4 linked regions of the Anolis sagrei genome follow. The protein of the gene in region 2 interacts with the protein of the main gene of each other region in a pairwise test. Links are inferred from orthologs where the notes say so. Each region holds a gene or a part of one and is shown on either strand. Other genes may lie near its edges. The genes, in order: SNRPB2, HOMEZ, DEF6 and PRKAA2.

Region 1 (6,947 bases), on a different chromosome or scaffold from region 2:
TATCAAGGCAGAATATCCCACATTATCTGCTTTGAACTGGGTTATCCGAGTCCACATTCAGATGTGGGATTTCCTGGCTTGATATTCTGGGATATAGGGCTGGGTGGAAGGGCATTGAAGTTCAAAGCAGATAATCTGGATTTTATATGGTTGTGTAGAAGGGCCCTTCCACACAGTCCTATATCCCAGAATATCTAGGCAGAAAATCCCACCAATATCTGCTTTGAACTGGGTTATCCGAGTCCACACTCAGATGTGCACAATATGTGGGGCTGCCCTTGAAAATGGCCCGGAAATTTCAATTGGTACAATGGGCGGCAGCCTGGTTACTAACTGGTGTCACTTACAGGGAGCGGTCAACCCGCCTGTTTAAGGAGCTCCATTGGCTGCCGTTCATTTTCTGGTCCCAATACAAGGTACAGGTTCTTACCTGAACGGTTTGGGACCCGCTTACCTGCATGACCGCATTTCTGTGTACGAACCCACACAATCTCTTCGATCATCAGGAGAGGCCCTGCTCGCGCTCCTGCCTCCTTCGCAGGCGCGATTGATGGGGACGAGGGCCTTCTCAGTGGTGGCCCTGATATCGAGCTCTTTTTGGGGGGCTTTCCCAGCGAGGAAGGCCCCAGAAGACCGCAAAGGGGGTCTCTGACCTTGGTGAGCTGCCAGCAAAAGCCAATCCAAAGCGCAAAATATTAAGAATTAATCCCACCAGAGGCTGAAGAGGTATCCAGCGACCGAAGCGTTTATTTCTGCGATTCAGCTGAAAAGGATGCGTTACAGGGATAATTCCACCATAAGCATACAGTACAGTGATTTCCAGGCATATTTATACAAGTAAAACAAAGAAAACCTGGTTTGAAACTCCCGCCCGCCTTCTGTCAGCTCTCTCCGCCCTGATTGGCTGGCTCTGGAACAGCTGGGAGGAGGCTTGGCCGCTTGTCCCGCCTCCCCTCCAATCGCCGGGCGCTGTCGCCTCTAGGGGGCCAATCAGAGCCCTTAGAGCGCCTCCGAAGATGGTCCAATCAGCGGCCAGGAGGCGGGACGTGGTTTGACAGCTCAGAGGGGGCGGAACGCCTGGGAGGCGTCCGCCAGCTGATTGAGAGCCTTTGTTCTTACACGGCAGGGTGGCAGACGGGAGAAACAAAGGATTTCCTGATTTCTGATTGCAGATGTGTATAGACATGAAAAGGGGCTATTGGTGGCATTTGGATCTCAAAACTCTGTAGACAAGGGGACCCTTAATCACAAAGGAGCTTACACAAATACCATGATTGATTTAATCAGTCCGTTTTCCGGGTTTCGGTTGACCCATCTCTGGCTTGTTTGTCTGACTCTGAAAACAAACCTTGAGATAATTGTCAACCCTGATCCATGCAAAATGTCAATATGAATGGGGTTATTTTGAGGAAATTGGATTTCCTCCGCTGTAGCCTCAGGTCACATCCTTTCTTAGTAGGGTAAAGTTCAGAGGAGAAAAGTAGGGAAAAGGGCAAGGGTACATCTCATAGATTTCATATTATACATATCATATACATTCTTCATAAATCTTCATAAGTTTCATAAATTTCATAAAGAGATCCCCATCCCAACCCAGCAAAGTTTATTAGAGGTAATAACAATTGATAAAAGCAATTCATCTCTGTTTGAAGTATGATCTTCTTGGCAAGGGCGCACGCACAGGCGGAGACTATTCTCTCCAAGAGGCCTGGTTCAGAGTCCGTGGAGGAAGTTCATGACGATAGGGCATCAAGTCAATCAGTGAGGGCAAAGAGGTCCGCAAGGAATTCACAAATGGTGGAGAGTGGGGCAATGTCCTTTAGAAAACTACATTTCCCTGATCAGGGGCCAGGGTCCAGTGCACAAGCCAGAGAATTCACAGAGAGGAAACAGGAACCCAGTTATGTGTGCTGGGTCAGGAAGCAACAGAATCCATTGTCTGGCCCTTGGCGAACTACAAATACTTGGGGGGGGGGGAGATGCTCCGCATCAGCCCCCTAACTCTGGAACTCACTTCCCAAGGACATCAGGCATGTCCCAACTCTGGCAGTCTTTAGGAGGAGCCTGAAAATGTGGCTGTTCCAGTATGCCTTCCCAGAATAAGGAAAATTCTCAGCAATATGCCCTCAGAATGCACTTTACAATTGGTTTAGGATTGACTGCGCTCCCTCATCTCTCTTTTAAAACCCTATACCAGATATATCCTACCTTGTTCGTGCCCAGCGTTTATTTTTTAATTTTTAAACTATTACATTGGCCCAGCCATAGGTTTTTTAATCCTTGTTGTGTTACTGTTTATTGGTTATTGTTTATATGTGATTTATATTAATTGTATTGTATTTATTGTTTTTGTTTATTGCTTCTTGTTCTTATTGATGGGTTGTTGGGCCTGGCCTCATGTAAGCAGCTCCGAGTCCCTTGGGGAGATGGTGGCGGGGTATAAATAAAGTATTATTATTATTATTATTATTATTATTATGTTATCATACCTCTTTAGCAAGCAGACATTATACATAAAAGAAACCTGATTTTGGGTTGTTTTATCCTGGCTCATGTCTTCTTTCAGTAATTGGTTAAATGGACAAACCCAGAGGGTGCTCACCAATGCTTCCTCTTCATCCTGGAAAGAAGTGACGAGCGGAGTGCCGCAGGGTTCGGTCCTGGGCCCGGTCCTGTTCAACATCTTTATTAATGACTTAGATGAAGGGCTAGAAGGCATGATCATCAAGTTTGCAGATGACACCAAATTGGGAGGGATAGCCAATACTCCAGAGGACAGGAGCAGAATTCAAAACGATCTTGACAGATTAGAGAGATGGGCTAAAACTAACAAAATGAAGTTCAACAGTGACAAATGCAATATACTCCACTTTGGCAGGAAAAACGAAATGCAAAGATACAGAATGGGGGACAATGCCTGGCTCGAGAGCAGTACGTGTGTAAAAAAGATCTTGGAGTCCTCATGGACAACAAGTTAAACATGAGCCAACAATGTGATGTGGCGGCAAAAAAAGACCAATGGGATTTTGTCCTGCATCAATAGGAGCATAGTGTCTAGATCTAGGGAAGTAACACTACCCCTCTATTCCGCTTTGGTTAGACCACACCTGGAATATTGTGTCCAGTTCTGGGCACCACAATTCAAGAGAGATATTGACAAGTTGGAATGTGTCCAGAGGAGGGCGACTAAGATAACCAAGGGTCTGGAGAACAAGCCCAATGAGGAGCGGCTTAAGGAGCTGGGCATGTTTAGCCTGAAGAAGAGAAGGCTGAGAGAAGATATGATAGCCATGTATACATATGTGAGAGGAAGCCACAGGGAGGAGGGAGCAAGCTTGTTTTCTGCTTCCTTGGAGACCAGGACGCGGAACAATGGCTTCGAACTACAAGAGAGGAGATTCCATCTGAACACGAGGAAGAACTTCCTGACTGTGAGAGCCGTTCAGCAGTGGAACTCTCTGCCCCGGAGTGTGGTGGAGGCTCCTTCTTTGGAAGCTTTTAAAGAGAGGCTGAATGGCCATCTGTCAGGGGTGCTTTGAATGCAATATTCCTGCTTCTTGGCAGGGGTTGGACTAGATGGCCCATGAGGTCTCTTCCAACTCTAGGATTCTATGATCCTTTGCAGCATTCCATGTGGCCAACCAGTTTTGGGGGGAATGAGAGTTCTTGCCCAGTGGTTGTATGAACCTAGTGATAAGTTTGATAGGCCTCTATACTCCTGAGGCAGGTGAAGACAAGAGGGCCAGGTTTTTCTCTCCTCCTTCTCCCCTTGCTCTCCTAGAACAACACTAAACGTTTCCTTTCCCTACTCCCTGTCTCTTTATAAAGGTTACTATGACTCTACAAGGTTCCCCTCACCCTATGAGGCCACGATGATGCTGGCAGCTCTAAAGTGAGAAAGCCCCGCCCCTTCATGGAGAGCCGGAAGTAGCTTCTGCGCCCGGAAGCGGAAAGGCGGTGCTCGTGAAGTCGTCTCTCTCGTGCTTCCCTCTTCGTTCTCCAGCCCGCAGTCCCTTCTCTCCGCTCAGGTAGGCGGTCCTGGATGGTTCAGCCTTGCCATTGTGATCCTTCGGATTTGTTTTGTCAAAAGATGGGTTTTTTTTGGGTCAACATAGACTACCTTTGCCCTTCCAGGTGTTTTGAACTCCCAACTCCCACAGTTCCTAACCGGCTGTTAGGAATTGTGGGAGTTGAAGTCCAAAACATCAGGAGGGCCGAAGTTTGCCCGTGCCTGGTCTACTAGCTTTCAAAAAAGGCATGGCTTGTTTTTGGATTTTGTGAATGCACCCGTTAGAAATTCTTGCAGATAGAATCAAAGAGTTGGAAGAGACCTCATGGGCCATGCAGTCCAACCCCCTGCCAAGAAGCAGGAATATTGCATTCAAATCACCCCTGACAGATGGCCATCCAGCCTCTGCTTAAAAGCTTCCAAAGAAGGAGCCTCCACCACACTCCCGGGCAGAGAGTTCCACTGCTGAACGGCTCCCACAGTCAGGAAGTTCTTCCTCATGTTCAGATGGAATCCCCTCTCTTGTAGTTTGAAGCCATTGTTTCGTGTCCTAGTCTCCAGGGCAGCGGAAAACAAGTTGCTCCCTCCTCCCTGTGGCTTCCTCTCACATATTTATACATGGCTATCATGTCTCCTCTCAGCCTTCTCTTCTTCAGGCTAAACATGCCCAGCTCCTTAAGCCGCTCCTCATAGGGCTTGTTCTCCAGACCCTTGATCATTTTAGTCGCCCTCCTCTGGACACATTCCAGCTTGTCAATATGTCTCTTGAATTGTGGTGCCCAGAATTGGACACGATATTCCAGGTGTGGTCTAACCAAAGTGGAATAGAGGGGGAGCATGACTTCCCTAGATCTAGACACTATGCTCCTATTGATGCAGGCCAAAATCCCATTGGCTTTTTTTTGCCGCCACATCACATTGTTGGCTCATGTTTAACTTGTTGTCCACGAGGATTCCAAGATCTTTTTCACACGTACTGCTCTCGAGCCAGGCATTGTCCCCCATTTTGTATCTTTGCATTTCGTTTTTCCTGCCAAAGTGGAGTATCATGTATTTGTCCCTGTTGAACTTCATTTTGTTAGTTTTGGCCCATCTCTCCAATCTGTCAAGATCGTTTTGAATCCTGCTCCTGTCCTCTGGATGGGGTTGGCAGTAGTGGGTGAAGGTACTGCATCTCCCATAATCCAGGTTCCTATACCCCCAAACCCCATCAGGATTTAAAGTGGGTCATGGGACATCTATGTGCTAAATTTGGTCCTGATCCATGGTTAATGGAGTTCACAGTCGTCTCTGGATGTGGGTCAAAGTACTGCAAATCCCACATCATCCAGGTTCCTACCCCCCCCCCCCCCAAACCCCACTAGGACCTAAAGTGGGCCATGGGGTATCTGTTCCAACTTTGGTCCAGATTCATGGTTGATGGGTTCACAGTTGTCTCTGGATGCGGGTGAAGGTACTGCGACTCTCATCATCCAGGTTCCTACCTCCCCCCCCCCCCAAAAAAAAACCCCCACCAGGACTCAAAGTGGGTCATGGGGTGTCTGTGTGCCAGGTTTGGTCCAGATCTATGGCTAAAGAGGTTTGCAGTAATCTCATGATGTGCGGGACAGTACTGCAACTCCCATCATCCAGAGTTCTTCCCCCAAGAAACCCCACCAGAACTTAAGTGGGTCATGGGATTTCAGTGTGCCAAGTTTGCTCCAGTTCCGTCATTGGTGGGGCTCACAGTTGTCTTTGGAAGTGAGAACCAATAGGAAAGCTGCCGCAAACTTACACAAATCTTGACAAGAAAAACACCATAAGTAGGATCAGCTTGGGTTGATTAGAATTGCCTGAAAAATGCAAAACAAAAAAGTGAGTTCCTTGGAGAAAAGGCTAAATAAGCTATCTTGTTTCCTAGGGAAGTTAGAAGATGGATATTCGACCAAATCACACGCTTTACATCAATAATGTTAATGACAAAATTAAAAAAGAAGGTAAGAAAATAGCTCAGATCTTTTATTCTACCATGTTCTGGTGCCTAGGGTCAAGATATGTGTGTGTGTGTGTTCCAGCTTATAATTTTCACTCTCTAGTAGGCTTTGTCTTTAACTGTTTTGGTTGTTATTGGAGTGAATTGTTTAATATATTGACAATTAGCTGTTGTCCTTTTGGCTGCAGTTCTTTCCACTTTTACCTGGACACAGCAGGATTTTCTTGTGAAGACATATATTTAAGACTGCACTGAAAACTATTTATACAGTATTATCCACAAATTTGATATCTATAGTTTCAATTACCCATACTCCAAATTTATTTGTAGGCCTTTCTAGGTCCTCCAGTGTAAATCCAGCAAACGTGCAATCAAAATATAGGGTTTACTATTGCCCACAGTGTCAGGTATCATTTCTCCAGTAGATATCAAGGTCATACTAGTTTTACATTTTGGTGAAAATGGAAAGCAGTCTATGTGACACAAGTTAATTTAATTATTATTGTAAGCAGTGTTTGTATATTTTCTTGGAAAATTACAATAACAATGTGGTAGAAGCATGCATTTAATGTTGTACTTGAAGCACTTTTAGCCCACTGTTTAGGACAGAGTCATCTATGTGTAGTGAATTTTATATGGCTACAGCATAGTCCTTCAGTTTGCAATCTAAAAGGTGCTAAAGAAAATGAAAGTGGAGAGAAGAGAAAGCTTTTTGACACTAGTTTTATAGCCCAGTGTCCTAATAATGGTGTAGGATAGTGTACTGCAACAGCCTTCCATTACCTTATTTGCAGTATGAGTACACAAAACCTGCAATACAGTAACTGACCGCATTTCTGTGTACGAACCCACACGATCTCTTTGATAATCTGGAGAGGCCCTGCTCGCTCTCCCACCTCCTTCACAGGCGCAATTGGTGGGGACGAGGGAGAGGACCTTCTCGGTGGTGGCCCCCCAACTCTGGAG
Region 2 (7,270 bases):
AAATCCATAAATGCGAGGGTTGAATGAAAAGTAATGCCTCCACCTTCTTTACTTGGGTTTGGATGGGAATATTTTAGGAAACCAAACGCAGAAATAATCCTTAGAATGTGCTCTTTAACTACCACTATTCACTTTTCCACATAATTGCCAGATAATTGGATACAAACAGGGATGTGTTATTGCCCCAACCTTATTTTCCATCTTCATCGCTATGACACTTCATCTAGTTGATGGGAAGCTTCCCACCAGAGTGGAAATGATCTGCGGACAGAAGGCAAGCTATTTAACCTCAGCAGACTCAAAGACAAAACCAAGGTTACAACATCTATTATAGAACTCCAATATGCTGATGACAACGTCATCTGTGCGCATTCAGAAGAAGACCTACAAGCCACTCTAAACACCTTCGCAGAAGCATATGAGAAGCTCAGCCTATCATTAAACATCGAGAAAACCAAATGCTCTTCGAGCAGTCACCAGCCAATCCCTCTTCAATGCCAGAAGTACAGCTTAATAGTTTAACATTAGAAAATGTTGACCATTTCTGCTACTTTGGCAACCACCTCTCCATAAAAGTCAACATTGACACTGAAATACAACACTGCCCTGAGCTCTGCAAGTGCAGCATTTTTCTGAATGAAGCAGTGTTTGAGGACCGGGACATCCATAGGGATACCAAGGTGCTTGTTTATAAAGCTATTGTCCTCCCCACCCTGCTATACTCCTGCGAGACGTGGACTCTCTGCAGATGTCACATGCAACTGCTGGAACGATTCCATCAGCGCTGCCTCAGGAAAATCCTGCAAATCTCTTGGGAAGACAGGCGGACAAATGTCAGTGTGCTGGAAGAAGCAAAGACCACCAGCCTTGAAGCGATGCTCCTCCGCCATCTACTTTGCTGGACCAGCCACGTTGTCCGAATGCCTGATCACAGACTCCCAAAGCAGTTACTCTACTCCTATGGCAGTCACACTGTACTTGCAAACGCTTGCTCCAAAAGCCAAGTTATGACTTTCCTCCAGAATGTTAAAATGGAGGGAGCTGATCTAATATCCCTAGGGAGGGCGTTCCATAGACAAGGGGCCAACACTGAGAAGGTCCTGTCTCTCATCCCCGCCAGTCGTGCTTGTGATGAGGGTGGGATCGAGAGCAGGGGCTCCCCAGACGATCTTAAAGCCCTGGAAGGTTCATAAAGGGAGATGCATTTGGACAGATAAGTTGGGCCAGAACTCTCTGAGTGATATGATGATCATCCTAAATCAATCTGTCAACCTTTTGCTTGTGAAACTCGGTGGTTGCTGTCAGAGGACGTCCAGCTTTTGTTTGTTGCACAAATCAGATTGTTCCCACCTCAACATCTTTAAACTTACTTGCCCAACGACACACAGTACTCACATCAACACAATCAACATAAACAGCTTGCATTCTCTGATGAATCTCCTTTGGGGTGACACCTTGTGCTGTGAAGAATTCACTGCCTCTGAGGATGGCTGGCATAGAGGTTCCAGAAGCATTCTCTCCTGAAGTTTCTCCCCCATCTATGGCAGGCATCCTCTGAGGTTGTGAGGTGTCTTGTCTTCTTCAAACAAAGAAGAGTTCTTTCTCCCACCCTGGACATTCCACAGATATATAAACTCCATTTTCCTACTTTCCAACAGACCTCACTACCTCTGAGGATGCTTGCCATAGATGTTCCAGAAGTATTCTCTCCTGAAGTTTCTCCCCCATCTATGGCAGGCATCCTCAGAAATTGTGAGGTCTGTTGGAAGCTAGGCAAGTGGGGTTTATATATCTGTGGAATGTCCAGGGTGGGAGAAAGAACTCTTGTCTGTTTGAAAAAGGCAAGGGATCTCACAACCTCTGAGGATGCCTGCCATAGATGCAGATGAAATGTCAGGAGAAAATGCTTCTGGAACATGACCATACTGCCCGGGAAACTCACCACAACCCAGAGATTCCGGCCACAAACGCCTCTGACAATACAAAATCCCACACTTCCTCCCATGCCATCCAACCTGCCTGCTGTCCCCCATGCTTCCAAGGAATTGCCCCAATTTCTCAGATCCTCCCTTTTAGCAAAAGATGAAAAGGAACAGGAAAACACATTAAGGATCACCATCAGAGCATCCTTTTCTTCCTGTTATATTGTCACAGGGCCCTTCCTCAAGCCCTATATCTCAGGGCCCTTCCACAAAGTCATATAACCCAGAATATCAAGGCAGGAAATCCCACAATATCTGCTTTGAACTGGGTTATTTGAGTCCACACTGCCATATATTTCAGTTCAAAGCATAAAATGTGGGATTTCATTCAGCTGGGTGGAAGGGCCCCCAGAGTCCGCACTCAGATAATGTGGGATTTCCTGCCTTGATATTCTGGGGGGCCTTCCACCCAGCTGAATAGGGCTGTGTGGAAGGACCCCCAGCAAAGACAGGACAGGTTTGGGAAGAGGAAGCAAATGGCTATTCTTTGGAGCCACTTACCTTCTCTTCCCCCAACTCGGAAAGAAAGATGGGAAAGAAGAGCATGCTGTCACTATGGAGAGATCAAAAGGCAAAGAAAGAAGAGAGCGGAGGGAAGAAGAAAGGATGTGGGGAGCAAGGCAGGAGAGGAAAGAAAAGTGGGAACTTGGAATGACAGAAGGAGACAATGACAGAAAGAGAAGAAGCAGACAAAAGGAAGGAAGGAAAGAAGGAAGGAAGGGCAGACAAAAGGAACAGGGAGGAAAAGAGGAGAGAATGGCAGCAAAAAGGGGGAGAGGGAGGCCAGAAAGGAAGGAGAGGCGAAGGGGGCTTCAAGGGCCTCATGAGGGGGAGAGGCCGGGGCCATGGAGGGGAAAGGGGGCTCACCCACCCGGGAGGGACCGGCGAGCATCACAGAGGACGGGCAGGGCGGCAGAGCCATCCAGGGGCCTGGCAGGGGCTGCAAGAGGCGGGGCGGTGGTCCACTCCGCTCTTGAAAGGCAGGAAGAAAGGCAAAATCCAGCTGCTTAGGTGAACCAACTATGTTTTGGAATAACAAAGCAACACAACAAAGGGGAGCCCGAGCTCAAACCACACCCCTTTACCTTCAACCCCAACCTCCCCACCCCCTCCTTGCCATGCAGAGGGCTGGCTTGCCAGACTTCACTCTGCACGTGCTCAGAGGCATGCTTTCCCTTCATTGTTGCTTCAACCGTTCTGGAACATTTAGGGCGGAAAGCTGCTCCTGACCAGGTGAAAGGCAACTGGGATTTTGTCTTTGATACCTCAGTTAATAAAGCCTGTTCAGGTCTTCTTGGCCTTCTACTTCTCTTTCTCATCCTCAGTGGTTCTCAATTTGGGGTCCCCAGATGTTTTTGGCCTACACCGGGATTGTGGCGCAGCTGGCTGAGTGTCAACTGCATTAAGATCACTTTGACCAAAAAGTCATGAGTTCGAAGCCAGCCCGGGTTGGAGTGGGTTTCCAACCAATTGTGTAGCCTGTTGTCGACTTTTGCAACCCGAAAGACAGTTGCGTCTGTCAAGTAGCAAAATTAGGTACCACCTTGTGTGGGGAGGCTAAATTAACTAATTTATGAGGCCATAAAAAAAGACTCCAGCAAAGCATTCCAGTGGGGAAGCATGCGGGGAATGCGGAAGTGCTTCATCAGCGTCGCAGATGGACGATGAAAGTGACAGCTCCCCTGGTGTCCAGAAAAAGTTAAATAGCCTCTGTCTATGTCTGTATATGTTTGTATGTCAAAAATTGGCATTGAATGTTTGCCATATATGTGTACACTGTAATCCGCCCTGAGTCCCCTGCGGGGTGAGAAGGGCAGAATATAAAAGCTGTAAAAAATAAATAAATAAATACAACTCATAGAAGTCCCATCCAGTTTACCAGCTGTTAGGATTTCTGGGAGTTGAAGGCCAAAAACATCTGGGGACCCCGGGTTGAGAACCACTGGCAGGTTTAGCCGCAGCTCCTTGGTAAGGCTGGAGAAACAGAGTTTAGCAAGGCTGGGAAAAGGGACTTGTAATTGTGTTGTCTTCGTGCTTCCAAAGCAGCATGCGTTTGAATGGGGAAACAACCCTACACTGGTTTGCTGTGAGTTTTCCAGGCTGTGTGGTCATGTTCCAGAAGCATTTTCTCCTGACTAGGCAAGTAGGGTTTATGTATTTGTGTAATGTCCAATGTGCTGTCGCATGCTGGGCCTGTGCATAAGACTGTAGACAGGACATAAATTCTGTGTGCCCAATGGGACTCCAGGGCTGCCTCAGATTAAAGGCCCTTGGATTTCCTTAAAACAGAGTCTTTAGATTGTTTAAAGGTTCAACAATGTTCTTTATTGATGAAAACAAACAGGTACTTTAAGGCTTTCTTAACAGTCTATTGGCTCTCTCTCAATCTTGTCCACAGGGAACAGGCACTATCTTCATAACTGTAACTAATGGGGAAATCCTTAACTTCTAACCTGGGCAGTCTGTCTTTGCCTCTATTGGCATGGAGCCCCTGCACCTGGTACCAACTGTTTCTGGCTTCCGCGAGTGACCCTTACCAAGCAGAGCTTTGTAGACTTCCAAGGGAAAAGGAGTTCAGGTTTCGGTGATGGCTGGCTGAAGTCCTTCATCTAAGTCATAAGTAAAGATGTTGAACAGGACTGGGCCCAGGACGGAACCCTGCGGCACTCCACTTGTCACTTCTTTCCAGGATGAAGAGGAAGCATTGGTGAGCACCCTCTTCAGAAAGACTTCACCCCACAGCCTGAGGAATAGAGCTCCCAAAATCTATTTCTCACCAGTTCAGCCCTCCTGCTACATATGGTGGCCTATCAAGGTTTCAAACATGCATTCTACTTGCTTACCTGAGATTAAAGATACAGCTGTTATCCAACACCTTAGGAAGCCCACATTCTGTGGTTAACCAGGTGCCAGAAGCTAGTCTCAGAAACCTTTGCCTATTGTATATTTTCAGGTAGACATGTAGTACTTCAAGAATACTATTTTCTCTCATCAATCCTTCCCCTCCAGCAGCTTTCGAAATCAGGTCCTTGAGATATTTTTGATTTTAGCGAATATGAGCAGTGCTCAGAAATATTAGGACTTGAAGTTCCAAACATCTGAAGGATAGCAGTTTGAGAACCAATACTTTAGGTTCTTGTGGGTTTTTTCGGGCTATAGGGCCATATTCTAGAGGCATTTCTCCTGACGTTTCGCCTGCATCTATGGCAAGCATCCTCAAAGGTAGTGAAGTCTGTTGGAAATAGGACAATGGGTTTATATATCTGTGGAATGGCTGGGGTGGGGCAAAGAGCTCTTCTCTGCTAGAGGTAGGTGTGAATGTTTCAGCTGACCATCTTCATTAGCATTTGAAGGCCTGCCTGAGCCTGGGAAAACCTTTTGTTGAGAGGTGTTAAGATGTGCCTGGTTGTTTCCTCTCTGCTGTTTTGCTGTTGTGATTTTAGAGTTTTTTAATACTGGTAGCCAGATTTTGTTCATTTTCATGGTCTCTTCCTTTCTGTTGAAATTGTCCACATGCTTGTGGATTTCAATGGCTTCTCTGTGTAGTCTGACATGGTGGTTGTTGGTGTGGTCCAGCATTTCTGTATTCTCAAATAATATGCTGTGTCCAGGCTGGTTCATCAGGTGCTCTGCTATGGCTGACTTCTCTGGTTGAAGTAGTCTGCAGTGCCTTTCATGTTCCTTGATTCGTGTTTGGGCAATGCTGCGTTTGGTGGTCCCTATGTAAACTTGTCCACAGCTGCATGGTACACGGTAGACTCCTGCAGAGGTGAGAGGATCCCTCTTGTACTTTGCTGAACGTAGCATTTGTTGGATTTTCTTGGTGTGTCTGTAAATAGTTTGTATGTTGTGTTTCCTCATCAGCTTCCCTATGCGGTCAGTGGTTCCCTTGATATATGGCAAGAACACTTTTCCTCTGGGTGGATCTTCATCTTTATTCTCGTGGCTTGTTCTTGGTCTTGCAGCTCTTCTGATGTCTGAAGTGGAGTCTCCATTGGCCTGGAGAGCCCAGTTTAGGTGGTTCAGTTCATCTTGGAGGAGGTGGGGTTCGCAGATTCTTTTTGCACGGTCTGCCAAGGCTTTAATGGTGCTTCTTTTTTGACTTGGGTGATGGTTGGAGTTTTTATGTAGGTATCTATCTGTATGTGTGGGTTTTCTGTAGACAGTGTGACCCAATTGTTGATCTGGTTTGCGGATGACTAGGACATCTAGAAAAGGCAGTCTTCCTTCATTTTCTTTTTCCATACTGAATTGGATGTTTGGGTGGATGCTGTTAAGATGGTCCAGGAACCTGTTGAGTTCTTCTTCTCCATGGCTCCAAATTTGGTACGATGAATGAAAATACATCCTGCCTATCAGATGTAACGGCGCTCCATGCAGTCATGCCGGCCACATGACCTTGGAGGTGTCTACGAACAACGCTGGCTCTTCGGCCTAGAAATGGAGATGAGCACCACCCCCCAGAGTTGGACACGACTGGACTTAATGTCAGGGGAAAACCTTTACCTTTATTAGATGTTTACATGATGATTCATAACAGCAGCAAAATTATAGTTATGAAGTAGCATCAAAAATAATGTTATGAAAAATGTATTGGACTGGTCTTGCTCACAACGCTCAGAATAGGAAGAAAGGGAAGGTGGGAGAGAGAGGTAGGCAGGTAAATAAGTTGGTTGAGGGCCCCACACATGTGTACATGTACATGTAAAGAGAAAAGCTGAGAGTTAATCCCGGCAGTTGGAACAAATGGCTTGGGCCCCGCCATAGCCCCGGCAGTCAGGCCCTACACACTGGCAGCAGGCATTGTGGAACCAGCGGTAGCGCCAGGCTCCCACTGATTGGCAAGCTGTCCGGCATCGGCTCATGGACAGGCACTCGTTGAAGAAAATGGACTGGCAAGGTGGTGTGGTGGCATTGAGGCCTTCAGCATCTGGGAGAACCAAGCCTGCAAGTGAGAAGAGGAAAGTTCATGGCTGTGTATCCTTCATTATTGCGACATCAATGCTTTCTCCTCTGGGCCAGGTACACTTACCTGTGTGTGGCCCCAGCAAGAGATGGTCTGTCTCTACGTGGTTCTGCCTCAGCTCCTCCTCAACTGGCAAAGTCAAGATGCTCCAGCCCATGGGAGACTCGTTGTCAGAGATGGCTGTGAGTGCCCGGAAAAGAGAGGGCACGGGAGACATCAGGTTGTGCATAGAGCTTCGCTGGGCCGGACGAGGGGCGGAGAGAGGACGTTCATCGCAGAGCCCTCGGGAGGAAAAAGTCAAGTCAGAATCCTTCCTTGGTAA
Region 3 (7,756 bases), on a different chromosome or scaffold from region 2:
AGTGATTTATGCCTTGCAGTTCATAGAGAACTTGTATAGACAGAGCTTCTGGTTTCCTGGCAGTTTTTTTTTTGTTATAACAAAAACCCTTATGATTCGGTAGGCCAGTGTTTCCCAATCTTCCTAATGCCACAACCCCTTAATACAGTTCCCCATGTTGTGGTGATCCCCAACCATAAAATTATTTTCATTGCTATTTCATAACTGTCATTTTGCTACTGTTATGAATCGTAATGTAAATATCTGATGTACAGGATGTATTTTCATTCACTGGACCAAATTTGGCAGAAATATCCAATACGCCCACATTTGAATACTGGTGGGGTTGGGAGGAGGATTGATTTTTGTCATTTGGGAGTTGTAGTTGCTGGGATTTATAGTTCACCTACTATCAAAGAGCATCCTTAACTCCACTAATGATAGAATTGAATAAAACTGGACACACAGAATTCCCACAACTGACAGAAAATACTGGGTTTGATGGGCATTGACCTTGAGTTTGGGAGTTGTAGTTCACTTACATCCAGAGAGCACTTTGGACTCAGACAATGATGGATCTCGACCAAACTTGGCACAAATACTCAATATGCCCAGATGTGAACATTGGTGGGGTTTGGGGAAATAGACCTTGACATTTGTGAGTTGGAGTTGCTGGGATTTATAGTTCACCTACAATCAAAGAGCATTCTGAACCCCACCAACGATAGAATTAGGCCAAAATTCTGACACAGAACCCCCATAACCTACAGAAAATACTGTGTAGGGTGAATATGAGAATATCTTGAACTTATCAATTTGCTTTTCATTCCAGAATTGAACTCAACTGATAGTTGGGTTGACAAAAGTCCAACCCAAGCTTTCTTTTTTTCCATTTCACCAGGTGGAAAATGTATTTTTATGGTTATTTCTGCCAGTAGAGCTCTTGATAGACACTGATCTGCCTTTAGCCCACTATTTATATAGACTATGTTGACTTCTGCCATCTAAGAGCATATCTTATGTTTTGAGAAAGAGCTCAGCTCAACTAGGGAGAACACTTCTGAAACAGCTTGCTGATCAATCTGAAAGTAATACTTCAGAGTTTATTTTGCACATTAGTTTTCAGTGCAACCCATGGTATATCGATGTATTGTTGAAGGCTTTCATGGCTGGAATCACTGGGTTATTCTGAGCTTTCGGGCTGTATGATTATGTTCCAGAAGCCACAACTCTCTGAAGACCAAGTATCCATACTAGCAAAAGGAGGCAATTTTGCTGTTATCACCACCAGAATCCCAGTAGAAAACATAATTGCTAATTTCAAATCAGAATTGTCTGTGGCCAATTGAAACATTTACACCTACCTCCAACAGACAAGATTCTTTCTCCTACCCTGGATATTCCACAGATATATAAACTCAATTTTCCTAGTTTCCAACAGACTTCACAACCTCTGAGGATGCACATAGATACAGGTGAAACATCAGGAGAGAATGCTTCTAGAACATGGCCATACAGCCTGGAAAGCTCACAACAACCCACGGTATATTGTTTTATACTCTTATATTTTCACTTTGAAACTTCTAGTTTTGCACAGGTCTCTGAACACAGTTGCCGGAAAAGGGCCAAAAATATTTATGACTCACATATCTTTATCTATAGACCACCCTTTTTGTGTATATATATTATTTAACATTGTTACCATGCATTCTTACAGTTGTGTTTATTGAGTTTTCTCATGTGTAACGTAGTTGCTTCAGAACAAAATAAAACCTATCCACCCCATGACATTCTGCCTTTTTAAGCATTTCTGGTAGTCACTTGTAAAATACAGCGTCCCAGTCTCACTTTTGGTCTGAACACCTCACCCCCGGGAAACAATCTTAGAAAGTCTATAAACCCAAAATATGTGAAAACTTGATTTTAGAGAAAATATTGTGTGTCTATGATAGATCCTTTTGACAAATGACATTTCAGAACGAGGTTTTATTCTTTAGTAAAGATTGGTTCAAGTTATCTATTGAACCTATTTGTACTTTCTGACCTCCCCTTCATATCCCTAGTCAAACATTTTGCTGATTTTCAGAAGGTGCATTTACACCAGGCACTGGCAAACTTGGGCCCTCCAGGTGTTTTGGACTTCAACTCCCAGCATTCCTAACAGCCTCAGGCCCTTTCCTTTTCCCCCTCAGCCACTTAAGCGGCTGAGGGGGAAAAAGGAAAGGGCCTGAGGCTGTTAGGAATGCTGGGACGGAGTCCAAAACACCCGGAGGGGCCAAGTTTGCCAGTGCCTGATCTACACTATAAACGTAGATATGATATAGCTCGATGTATGGAACAATGAGAATTGTACTTTTTGTGATGCACCAGACTATTTCTCAGGGAAGGCTTAAGACATTGCAAAACTACCATGTCACTGAGCCATGGCAATTGAAGTGGTGCCAAACTACATTAATTCTACAGTGTAGATCAAACTCTTCATAAGCAGAGCAATGAGTCTGAAATCTAATTCTCTTACACTTCACACCTCCTGCAGTTCTTTCTCTTTCTTTCCCTGGAGGGGAAGGGAAGTGGCTAAAGATTTCCTGTCCTGTGGCCAAAAATAGATTGCTATGATTTGAAAGGGGAGAAAAAAAAGATGGCCCTGATCCTGAGTCTTTTCAAGAGACAAAACATGTTTATTTTGCCAGATCAATATCCTCATAAACCAGTTCCCCTTTAAAGCAGCAATGCAGCTTGGGACAAAGGGCTGGAAAAATATTGTTAAGGAGACAAATTACTGGATAAAGCTACATATTTAATTTAGAAATGCTGTTTTATTGTTAGAGGCAAAGTGCTAGAGTTGGTTAAGAAAACACCTGTAACCTAGACAGCTTGGATTTGCAGGCTGGAACGTCACATTTTGGGGGGAGGGAAATATTTGCAATATGTATTTAAACCCAAAGCCATATGAAGTTGAGGACAGCCTCTAATGTAAACATTTCAGAAAAGTAAAAACAAAACAAAAACGCCTTCAGGTTACACAGTTGAGTGGGCTCCCCCCTCTGAGTTATATTTGATGGAATTGAAGGTTCATATCAATTTATGTATTAAAGGTACACTTACTTTCCAAATTCCTAGAAATTCTTAATGCTTCTATAACCTTTCTAGAGACACCTCGATCTACATACAACATATTCTGTCCATGCACAAATTGCTGTTGGAGACATTTCCAGGATGCTTACACTACACAACGTTCCTGTTATTGGGTTGCTGTGAGTTTTCTGGGCTGTACTGCCATGTTCCAGAAGCATTCTCTCCTGACATTTTGCCCACGTCTATGGCAGGCATCCTCAGAGGTTGTGAGGTCTGTTGGAAATTAGGCAAGTGAGGTTTATCTATTTGTGGAATATCCAGGGTGGAAGATAGAAATCTTGTCTGCTTGAGATAAATGTGAGTGTTGCAAATGGCCATCTTGATTAGCATTTAATGGCCTTGCAGCTTCAAAGCCTGGCTGCTTCCTGCCTGAGGGAATCCTTTGTTGGGAGGTGTTCGCTGGCCGTGATTGATTATTGTCTTGATTTCCCCTGCTTTATTTACTGTCCTGCTTTGAGAGTTTTTTTTTTAATACTGGTAGCATCTACACTGTAAATGCCAGATTTTGTTCATTTTCATGATTTCCTCATTTCTGTTTCTGTTATTATTTATTGATTCCACTGGTGTATAAAGCAGAAAGCTTTTACTAGTGTAAAGAACTTATTGCTGGCAGGCAAGTGTGGGAGTTGAAGTCCAAAACACCTGGAGGGCCCAAGTTGGCCCATGCCTGGTGTAGATGGACTCAGAGGATGCAAGATGTTTCTTTGGTTTCTCTGGGCCGTCATCCATATCCTTTGGGCAGTGTAGATAAGTAGTGTAGATGAGGCATGGGCTTACTTAATTTCTTAGGTGATCCCTCATTGTGCGAGTAGGATGATCCTTCAGGGCAGTGGTTCTCAACCTGTGGGTCCCCAGGTGTTTGGCCTACAACTCCCAGAATCCCAGCCAGTTTACCAGCTGTTAGGATTTATGGGAGTTGAAGGCCAAAACATCTGGGAACCCACAGGTTGAGAACCACTGCTCCAGGGTCTGTGTGCAGTGTGTGGTGGGTCCGTAGGTGACTGTGGAGCCTTATTCTTGATCTGCATCTTCTCCCACAGTGAGGGCATTAGTTTCCAGGTGTAAGGCGGTCCTGGTTGGGGTTGGCTTGATGCGCCTTCCTCTTGGCATGTTTCTCTCTTTCGCCCTCTATTCGTGCCTCTTCAAATTCTACAGCATTACTGGTCACAGCTGACCTCAAGGGCCAGGGCTTCCCAGTTCTCAGTATCTATGCCAGAGTTAAGGTTGGCTTTGAGCCTGTCTTTAAATCTCTTTTCCTGCCCTCCAACATTCTATTTTCCGTTCTTGAGTTCGGAGTTGAGCAACTGCTTTGGGAGACAGTGGTTGGGCATCCGGACAATGTGGAGTTGATGGCAGAGGCAAACTTGGGCCCTCCAGGTGTTTTGGACTTACGTGGACTAGCCAAGCTTACGTAGCTAAGGAGAAATGGAAGGAATGCTGGGAGTTGAAGTCCAAAACACCTGGAAGGCCCAAGTTTGCCCCTGCTTGGTATAGATGTACCCAGAAGCATTGCTAGGTCAGCAGGGGAAGGTGCTGTTGCGTTTGCGACCAGCAGATGGCGCTGTGGCACAAGCGGTTTCCCGCGGAGGGCTGCGGCGCGCTTCCTGCGAGCGAAGGAGGGAAGGGCGGAGGAGGAGGCGCCTGGCTGCGGAGCTTGAGCGGCGGTGACGGGGTTGTCAGCGACTGTTTCTCTCTCTTTCCCGGCATCATGGAGCTGCGAGCCGAGCTCCTGAAGTCCATCTGGTACGCCTTCACCGCCTTGGACACCGAGAAGAGCGGCAAAGTCTCAAAGTCGCAGCTCAAAGTAAGTTTGGAGAGGGGACACACCTGCAGCTGGGATGCAGTTGGACCCCTACTTTCAACTCAATGCTCTGGAATCATTGGAGGTGTAGTTTTGCAAGGTCTTTAGCCTTCTCTGCCAAAGAGATCAAGCTGAAAAACTCTAGGGTTGAATAGCATTCAGCCATGGCAGTTAAAAGTGGTGCCAAACTGCATTCATTCCAGACAAGAGATGCTCAACTGCTTCTCAACCTCTCCCTGATCCTTTCCACATCCCCAGCCTTTGAAAGTGAGCAGTGTCTTATTAGGACCTCATCACACTACAGAATGAATCCACTTTAAATCCGGTTTCTGCCTCCTGCAGAATTCTGGGGTTTGCAGTTTAGGGAGGGGCCTTTAACAGCCACGGTAAGTTACAAACCCCAGAATTCTGCAGGAGGCAGAAACCGGATTTAAAGTGGATTCATTCTCTAGTGCAGTGGTTCTCAACCTGTGGGTTCCCAGGTGTTTTTAGCCTAAAGGTAAAGGTTTTCCCCTGACATTAACTCCAGTCCTGTCTGACTCTGGGGTGTGGTGCTCATCTCCATTTCTAAGCTGAAGAGCTGGCGTTGTCCATAGACATCTCCAAGGTCATGCGGTTGGCATGACTGCATGGAGCGCTGTTACCTTCCTGCTGGAGCAGTACCTATTGATCTACTCACATTTGCATGTTTTTTAACTGCCAGGTTGGCAGAAGCTGAGGCTGACAGTGGAAGCTCACACCGCTCCCCGGATTCAAACCTACTACCTTTCGGTCAACAAGCTCAGCAATTTAACCCACGGCACCACCAGCCAGGCCTGTAGCGAGGGGGTGGTTTTAGGGGTTCAAACCCCACCCGAAATGTTTCAGATTTTTTTAAAAAACCTAGTTTACTCATGAATTTTAACTGGTTAACCAAATCTCCATGCTAAGTCTATGAGATGCAAAAAATTAAGAGTCCCTCCAGAACTGTAAGCACTATCTCAAACAAATATTGACAATTTATTCACACTGTCATTACTTGCAGCAATAGCCGATGTAGTGAAGCAACCAAGTTGGGTGTGTGTGTGTTGAATGCTCTCATTAAGGAGGCCAGACTTGGTGGAGGTGGTTGACAGGGGTGGAGTTGCAGGCTATTGAAGGCTGCTCTTTCCCCTGCTGTGCTCTTTGCTTCAGCGTGAGCTAGGAGGCAAGTTTCAACCCCCCCCCCCCAAATTTTCAACCCTCCCCAAAATTTTCAACCCCCCCCCCGAAATTGTCAACCCTCCCCGAAGTTTTTTTCTGGCTACGGCCCTGCCACCAGCTGTTAGAGTTGAAGGCCAAAACATCTGGAGACCCACAGGTGGAGAACCACATGTTCCAGTGTGATGAGATCCTTAATGTGACTATTTTCCATGTTTTCTTTTGTGAAAGGAGGAGGAAAGAAAGCTTTCCCAGCTCCCGCTTTTTCATACTAAATACTAATACAAGTAGTGGCATGAATGGGAGTTTAGTGCTTAATTGCAGAACTTGGGGAGGGAGATAAGATGCCAGGGTGTGCTAGGAAAGTAGGGCAGAAAACACTGGTTCGTGCCTGATGTAAATAGTGAGCGACACCTCGGGGAAATCAATCAACACAAGCTGATACACGCAAGAGATAATGTCAGAGGCTGTCTTCCTTCAGTGTCTCATGGAGAGTGCACCCACACTGACGAATCAATACAGTTCGACACCACAAATACATCCACACTGATGAGTTAATACAGTTTGGCACCACTTTAATGGCCTGTGAGTCAATGCTATGGAATCATTAGAGCTGTATTTTTGCAAGATCCAAAGTATGGTGGGGCCTCACCAAAGTACAAATCCCAGGATTCCATCGCAGTTAAAGAGGCATCAAACTGCATTAATTGGATAGTGTAGATCATGCATGGGCAAACTTGGGCCCTCTGAGTGTTTTGGACTCCAAGTCCCAACATTCCTAACAGCCTCAGGCCCCTTCCTTTCCCCCCTCAGCCGCTTAAGCGGCTGTTAGGAATGCTGAGACTTGGAGTCCAAACACCCAGAGGGCCCAAGTTTGCCCATGCCTAGTGTAGATTGACTCAGAGGATGCAAGATGTCTCTTTGGTTTCTCTGGGCCGTCATCCATATCCTGTGCTCATTTCCAGTGTGGAATGAATGCAGAAATTGGGCAGCTGTTTGGCACAGCCAACTCTTCGGAGAACTCCCACATTGACATAGTTCTTGGGTTTTGGAAGATCTTCTTGGAAGGACCTTCTTACACCCCAGTGTATTAAGCGTGCTTTTCCTGATATAAATATACTGTTTAATTACTTCTGTTATTTTTCCTTTTTGTCCTGTATTAAGAGTTGTGATAGATTTCCTTTTCCTCCCCAATTGAATTATAATGTCCCAGGTTTGGAGTAATATCACTCTAGAGCAGTGTTTCTCAACCTTCCTAATACCGCGACCCCTTAATACAGTTCCTCATGTTATGGTGACCTCCAACCATAAAATTATTTTCGTTGCTACTTCATAACTGTCATTTTGCTACTGTTATGAATCGTAATGTAAATATCTGATATGCAGGATTTATTTTTATTCACTGGACCAAATTTGGCACAAATACCCGATACATCCAAATTTGAATACTGGTGGGGGTTGGGGGGATTGATTTTGTTATCTGGGAGTTGTAGTTGCTGGGAATTTATAGTTCACCTACAATAAAACAGCATTCTGAACTCTACCAATGACGGAACTGGACCAAATTTGGCACACAGAACTCCCATGACCAAGAAAAAATACTGGAAGGGTTTGGTGGTCATTGGCATTGATCTTGAGTTTGAGAGTTGTAGTTCACCTACT
Region 4 (7,306 bases), on a different chromosome or scaffold from region 2:
CTAACAGCAAGAGCTCATGCCGCTTCAAGGATTCGAATCTGTGACCTTTCGATCAGCAAGTTCGGCAGCTCAGTGGTTTAAACCACCATGCTACTGGGGGCTCCAATATGTGGTAATCCTATATGTAGAAAGCAGTAGACGAATGCTTGCATTTTGGATTGTTTTTGTTGTTGTTATTATTATTATTATTCACCCAACTTTCCCTCAAGGCAAGGGACAATACACTTAAAATATATAGATAACAAGATCATTAAAACATTTATAAAATAGACTCTCAACTAACTAGCAAAAGAAATCAAAGAAATTACATAGAATTCACAAAACTGTTTTTACAATACAATAAAACTGTGATAAATTAAGCTTCTCTTTATCTTTCCTAAATGACTTTCCATTGCTGTATTTCAATATTAATATTGTCAATACAGAGTTTATGATATGATATGGTACAGAATAGCGTAGAATATGAGGCCTATTTTTACTAGTAACTCTCAAGCAACCAGAAACCACATTTATTTGACATTTATACTGTTTTTTATTGATGGCATTGAATTGTTGCGAACACTGTGAACTACTCTAAGTGCTCTTCGGGGTTGAGAAGGGTGGTATACAAATACTGCAAATAAATAAATAAATACATCTACCAATCCCTGTGGGTGCCAGTTAACTGAGATTCTAGGAGCTCCCAGTGGCACAATGGGTAAAACTCTTGTGTTGGCAAAACTGCTGACTGAAAAGTCGGCGGTTCAAATCTGAGGAGCAGGGTGAGCTTCCATCTGTCAGCTCCAGCTTCTCATGCTGGGACATGAGAGAAGGCTGCCACAGGATAGTAAAACATCCAAGTGTCCCCTTGGAAATGTCCTTGCAGATGACCAATTCGCTCACACCAGAAGCAACTTGCAGTTTCTCAAGTTGCTCCTGACACAAAAAAACCTCTCAAAGTCTACAGTATTATGTATATACTTGTTGGCATTGCATATTTGCCTTTTATGTTGTCAGACGCTCTGAGTCCCATGTTGGGAGGTGGGCGGGATATCAAGTTTTATTATTATTATATTACATAGCAGAGGTGAGATTAAAAACACGTTAAGATCATTTGTACCAAGTGTTTGCCTTTGACAATGAGGCAGGTCCACCAACGACTCCACCTTTGCTTTGAGAAATACCCCCAGACCTTCAACCCCAGTGCTCTTGCAGTTTTGGACTCTCAGTTCCCAGAAGCCTCCGCTGTCAGGGCCAATGAGCAGGGATTCTGGTAGCTGGAGTTCAAAACACCTGGGAGACCAGCGTTTGGGAGACAAGGTTCCAGACCAGAGCAGGATTTCTCCCTCTCCCTCTACATATATACTCTGTGTGTGTACAGAGAGAGTGTATATAGTGTGTGTGTATATGTATGTGTATATATACACACATATACATCTCTCTGTGTGTGTACCAGTAATGAGTAAACTTTGCCCCTCCAGGTGTTTTGGACTCCAACTCCCACAATTCCTAACAGCTTACCAGTATGCATTCATACTGTGTGTATGTATATACCAGGCATGCACAAACTTGCGTCCTCCAGGTGTTTTGGACTTCAATTCCCACAATTTCTAATGTATTTGTACGTGTATGTGTGTGTATACACATACACTTACATGTGTGCATGCATACTGCATGTATGCCGGCTGTTAGGAAAACACCTGGAGGGCCAAAGTTTGACCATTCCTGGTATATATACACACACACATGAATGCATGCATACTGTGTGTGTGTGTGTGTGTGTGTGTGTGTATATATATATATATATATATATATATATACCAGGCCTGGGAAAAATTGGGCCCTCCAGGTATTTTGGACCTCATCTCCCACAATTCCTAATGCATCTGTATGTGTATCTATGTGTATACACACACATACACTTACATGGGTGCATGCATATTGCTCACTTCGGCAGCACATATACTAAAATTGGGATGATACAGAGAAGATTAGCATATTGTGTGTATGCCGGCTGTTAGGAATTCTGGGGGCTGAAGTCCAAAACACCTGGAGGGCTGAAGTTTGCCCATTTCTGGTGTATATATATATATATATATACACACACAAGCATGCATTATTGGCCCTCCTGGTGTTTTGGACTTCAACTCCCACAATTCCTAATCTATGTGTGTGTGTATGCATGCATACTGTGTGTATGCTGGCTGTTAGGAATTGTGGGAGCTGAAGTCCAAAACACCTGGAGGGCCGAAGTTTGCCCATGCCTGGTATGCATGTATATGTGTGTGTGTGTGTGTGTGTGTGTGTGTACATACACACGCACACACAAGCATGCATGCTTGGGCCCTCCTGGTGTTTTGGACTTCACTCCCACAATCCTAATGTGTGTGTGTGTATGCATGCATACTGTGTGTATGTCGGCTGTCAGGAATTGTAGGAGCTGAAGTCCCAAACACCTGGAGGGCGAAGTCTGGGATATAGTCTAAAGATGCTTTTGGATAACGGGGAGAGGTAAACAGGGATGTCCCCAATGAGCTGATATCTTGACCAAGGTTGGGGTGGGTTCCTCCTTGCTGCCATGGGGAGGGGGGAGGGGGGCATTTGGGAGACCCCGAGGGAGGGCTTTAAAAGACTGGCCCCAAAGAAGGGGCGTCCTAGAGGCGCAAGAGCAGCGCTCATGGGGCTCCTGCCTGGATGGGAAGCGCTGGGAGGGCGCTCTCAGGACCGGACCCCTTCCCTTCCTCCCTCCCTCCCTCCTTCTCCGCGGCGCCCCCCTGGGAGATACTCAGCTCTTGACTTTGCCGAAGGTGCCGACGCCCAGCGTGTCCCCCAAAACGTAGTGCCCGATCTTGACGCGCCCGTCGTGCTTCTGCGGCGGCGGAGGCTTCTCTGCCATCTTCGCTGCTCCTGCCGCTTCTGCTGCTGCTGCTGCTGCTCTTGGCAGCTTTGCCTCCGCCGACACCGGCCGGGCCGGACCACAATGCAGCAGGGCCGGCGGCAAAGGCGGCGGGGAGGGATGGGGAGGGCGGCGGGGAAAGGAGGAGGCAGCAGGCGAGGAGAGGCAGCAGCAACAGCCAAGGCAGCAGCAGAGCCCAGAGGTGGGGAAGGGAAGGGGAGGGAGAGAGGTGGGCAGGTACGCAGGAGAAGAGGCGGGAAGGCATTTCTTCTCCCTGGGGATGGCTAAAACATGTCTCTCTCTGTGTGTGTTTTCTCTCATTTATTCATATATTTTTTCTAATTACACTATGCAACACGACTTTTTTTGGTCCTGGTTTATCAATGTCATTTCCTAATTGGTTCAGTCATAAAATATGTGGAAAGTTGTCTTGGCTGGAATCACTGTGTTGTTTTGTCTTGGCTGGAATCACTGGGTTGCTGTGAGTTTTGGGGCTATATGGCCATGTTCCAGAAGCATTCTCTCCTGACGTTTCACTCACATCTATGGCAGGCATCCTCAGAGGTTGTGAGGTCTGTTGGAAACGAGGCAAGTGGGGTTTATATATCAGTAGAATAATCTCTAGGGTGGGAGAAAGAGCTTTTCATAGAATCAAAGAATCAAAGAGTTGGAAGAGACCTCATGGGCCATCCACAGTCCAACCCCCTGCCAAGAAGCAGGAATATTGCATTCAAATCACCCCTGACAGATGGCCATCCAGCCTCTGTTTAAAAGCTTCCAAAGAAGGAGCCTCCACCACACTCCAGGGCAGAAAGTTCCAATGCTGAACGGCTCTCACAGTCAGGAAGTTTTCTCTGCTTGAGGCAAGTGTAGATGTTGCCATTGGCCGCCTTAATTAGCATTGAACGGCCTTGCAGCTTCAAAGCATGGCTAGGGGGAATCCTTTGTTTGGAGGTGTTAAAGGTAAAGATGTATTGTCAAAGGCTTTCACAGCTGGAATCACTGGGTTGTTGTAGGTTTTTTTCAGGCTATATGGCCATGTTCTAGAGGCATTCTCTCCTGATGTTCTAGAGAATGCCTCTAGAACATGGCCATATAGCCTGAAAAAACCTACAACAACCCAGTAAAGGTAAAGGCTTCCCCTTGACATTAAGTCTACTTGTGACTGATTCTGGGGGCTAGTGCTCATCTCCATTTCTAAGCCAAAGAGCCGCCATTGTCCATAGACATCTCCTAGGTCGTGTGGCCAGCATGACTGCATGGAGCGCCCTTACCTTCCTGCCAAATCAATTGATCTACTCACATTTGCATGTTTTTGAACTGCTAGGTTGGCAGAAGCTGGGACTAACAACAGGAGCTCACCCTGTCCTGTGGATTCAAACTGCCAACCAGCTTAGCTGTTTAACTCACTGCACCCTAATCAGGACAGTAAATAAAGAACAACACTCAGAAAACAGGGGAATTCCAGATAAGAAACAACCAGGGCCAGCTAACTCATCCCAACAAATTTTCCCCGGGCAGCAACCAGCCAGGCTTTGAAGTTGCAAGGCCATTCAATGCAAATCAAGTTGGGCAGTTGCAACATTCACACTTGCCTCAAGTAGACAAGACTTCTTTCTTCTACCCTGGACATGCCACAGATATATAAACTGCACTTGCCTAGTTTCCAACAGACCTCACAAATTTCTGAGGATGCCTGCCATAGATGTGGGATGAAACATCAGGAGAAAATGCTTCTGGAACATGGCCATACAGCCTGGAAAACTCACAGCAACCCAGTTTATTACATTGCAAAAACTGTGTTTTTTGCAGGACACCCTGCAGCACATTTTGCTAGAGTTTTGCAATGAATGTCTCATCAGGTCTCAACCAATTCAACATAGTTTGTGGAAGCCACAAAAATGAAGATCCTGGACTACAACAACTACTTTCAAAGTAAGTACCACACAATTAAACAGGAAATAACACTTTCAAACCAGGAACAGATTTTTATTTTTCAAATATTGTTACATAGTGTTATTAGAAGCAGTCATAGTTTTTGGATTTTATGAATAGTCTCATTAGGAAATGCATAAGGATGGGGATAGATTACAAATCCCATCGTCATCTGTCATTGCCCCCAAATGGTGCCTGTAGTTAAAGTTGATCATGATGGGTAAGTGTTCCAAGTTTGATTGATTGCATTCATGGTGCTCCCTGGACATGGGTGGACTGCAATTCCCATCATTTCTGTCATTGGCCAACCCCACCAGTACTTAAAGATGGGGATGTGTGCCATGTTTGGTACAGATCCATCATTGGTGGAGTTCAGCATCCTCTTTGACTGAGTGAACAACAACTCCCAGCATCCAAGGTCAACCCCCCACCCCTACCAGTACTTAAAGCTGGTCATGATGCTTATTTATGCTAAGTTTTGTCCAGTCTTAGAATCACAGGTGTACTTTATGTATTTTTGTAGGTGATACTGGAATAAGGATGCATCTTACAATTGATGGTGTCTCACAATTGAAGAAATATGGTATATAGAAAAAAATACAGCTAAAATCAACAGCAACAAAGAAATTTACAATGACTTCCAACATTCCTTATGATTATAAGTGAAATAACTGTATATAAAATCCTACTCTCCAGCAAAGGATCACCGCCTTGTCGGGGCGCTGGAGCTTGAGCACCTCAATGATGTCATGAGCAAAACCGTGAAGGGCCACCCAAGACGGGACGGTTGTGGCAGAGAGGTCAGACCAAGCATGATCCCTGGGGAAGGCAATGGCAAACCACTCCAGTATCCTTGCCAAGAAAACTAAATGGACCAGTACAACCAGAGATATGTCGGTATGCCATTGGAAGATGGGACTCCCAGGTCGGAAGATGGCCAAAATGCTACTGGGGAGGAGCAGAGGATAAGTTCAACTAGCCCCAGATGTGATGACGCAGCTAGCTCAAAGCCGAAAGGAAGGCTAGCTGCCGACGGTACTGGAGGTGAACGACGAATCCGATGCTCTAAAGATCAACACACCATAGGAACCTGGAATGTAAGATCTATGAGCCAGGGCAAATTGGATGTTGTTATTGGTGAGATGTCAAGACTAAAGATAGACATTCTGGGGGTCAGCGAACTGAAATGGACTGGAATGGGCCACTTCACATCAGAGGACCACCAGATCTACTACTGCGGAGAAGAGGAACATAGAAGAAATGGAGTAGCCTTCATAATTAATAAGAAATTCGCTAAAGCAGTGCTTGGATACAACCCAAAAAATGACAGAATGATCTCAATTCGAGTGCAAGGAAAGCCTTTACACATTACAGTGATCCAAATATACGCCCCAACCACAGCTGCTGAAGAAGCAGAAGTAGATCAGTTCTATGAGGATCTGCAGGACCTACTGGATAATACACCAAAAAGAGACATTATTTTCATTACGGGAGACTGGAATGCCAAGGTGGGAAGTCAAGTGACAACTGGGATCACAGGCAAGCATGGTCTGGGAGAACAAAATGAAGCGGGACGCAGGCTGATAGAATTTTGCCAGGAAAACTCGCTGTGTATAACGAATACTCTCTTCCAACAACCTAAAAGACGGCTTTACACATGGACCTCACCAGATGGTCAACACCGAAATCAGATTGACTACATCCTTTGCAGCCAAAGGTGGTGGACATCCATCCAGTCGGTGAAAACAAGACCTGGGGCTGACTGTAGCTCAGATCACGAACTTCTTATTGCACAATTTAGAATAAAACTAAAGAGATCAGGGAAAATACACAGACCAGTTAGATATGATCTCACTAACATTCCTAGCGAATATACAGTGGAAGTGAAGAACAGATTTGAAGGACTAGATTTAGTAAACAGAGTCCCAGAAGAACTATGGACAGAAGTCCGCGACATTGTTCAGGAGACGGCAACAAAGTACGTTCCAAAGAAAAAGAAAACCAAGAAGGCAAAATGGTTGTCTGCTGAGACACTGGAAGTAGCCCAAGAAAGGAGGAAAGCAAAAGGAAACAGGGATAAGAGGAGATATGCCCAGTTAAATGCGCAATTCCAGAGGTTAGCCAGAAGAGATAAGGAACTATTTTTAAATAAGCAATGCATGGAAGTGGAAGAAGACAACAGAATAGGAAGGACAAGAGACCTCTTCCAGAAAATTAGAAACATTGGAGGTAAATTTCAGGCAAAAATTGGTATGATAAGAAACAAAGATGGCAGGGACCTAACAGAAGCTGAAGAGATCAAGAGAAGGTGGCGAGACTATACAGAAGATCTGTATAGGAAGGATAATAATATTGAGGATAGTTTTGACGGTGTGGTGAATGAATTAGAACCAGACATCCTGAGGAGTGAGGTTGAATGGGCCTTAAGAAGCATTGCTAACAACAAGGCAGCAGGAGACGACAGGATCCCAGCTGAACTGTTTAAAATCTTAAAAG

Evidence for each region.
Region 1: the proteins of HOMEZ (region 2) and SNRPB2 interact in binary tests that used the Homo sapiens proteins (3 or more experiments, as listed by UniProt). The two-hybrid records come from large-scale screens. The link is inferred for Anolis sagrei from reciprocal best matches to the Homo sapiens genes HOMEZ and SNRPB2.
Region 3: the proteins of HOMEZ (region 2) and DEF6 interact in binary tests that used the Homo sapiens proteins (3 or more experiments, as listed by UniProt). The two-hybrid records come from large-scale screens. The link is inferred for Anolis sagrei from reciprocal best matches to the Homo sapiens genes HOMEZ and DEF6.
Region 4: the proteins of HOMEZ (region 2) and PRKAA2 interact in binary tests that used the Homo sapiens proteins (3 or more experiments, as listed by UniProt). The two-hybrid records come from large-scale screens. The link is inferred for Anolis sagrei from reciprocal best matches to the Homo sapiens genes HOMEZ and PRKAA2.

What each region holds. Positions count from the first base shown.
Region 1 is NC_090021.1:157,445,691-157,452,637, reverse strand, and holds the start of SNRPB2 (U2 small nuclear ribonucleoprotein B''), read left to right. Parts: upstream 1-3,930; 5' UTR 3,931-4,028; intron 4,029-5,909; 5' UTR 5,910-5,921; coding exon 5,922-5,985; intron 5,986-6,947. UniProt on the Homo sapiens protein: Involved in pre-mRNA splicing as component of the spliceosome. Associated with sn-RNP U2, where it contributes to the binding of stem loop IV of U2 snRNA.
Region 2 is NC_090026.1:9,112,869-9,120,138, reverse strand, and holds the start of HOMEZ (homeobox and leucine zipper protein Homez), read right to left. Parts: upstream 3,024-7,270; 5' UTR 2,854-3,023; intron 2,668-2,853; exon of another isoform or gene 2,484-2,667; intron 1-2,483. Other genes in the region: twisted gastrulation protein homolog 1-B-like, read right to left, coding at 6,707-6,927, 7,015-7,230. UniProt on the Homo sapiens protein: May function as a transcriptional regulator.
Region 3 is NC_090024.1:189,813,723-189,821,478, forward strand, and holds the start of DEF6 (differentially expressed in FDCP 6 homolog), read left to right. Parts: upstream 1-4,747; 5' UTR 4,748-4,822; coding exon 4,823-4,918; intron 4,919-7,756.
Region 4 is NC_090024.1:170,779,694-170,786,999, forward strand, and holds the start of PRKAA2 (5'-AMP-activated protein kinase catalytic subunit alpha-2), read right to left. Parts: upstream 3,004-7,306; 5' UTR 2,876-3,003; coding exon 2,770-2,875; intron 1-2,769. UniProt on the Homo sapiens protein: Catalytic subunit of AMP-activated protein kinase (AMPK), an energy sensor protein kinase that plays a key role in regulating cellular energy metabolism.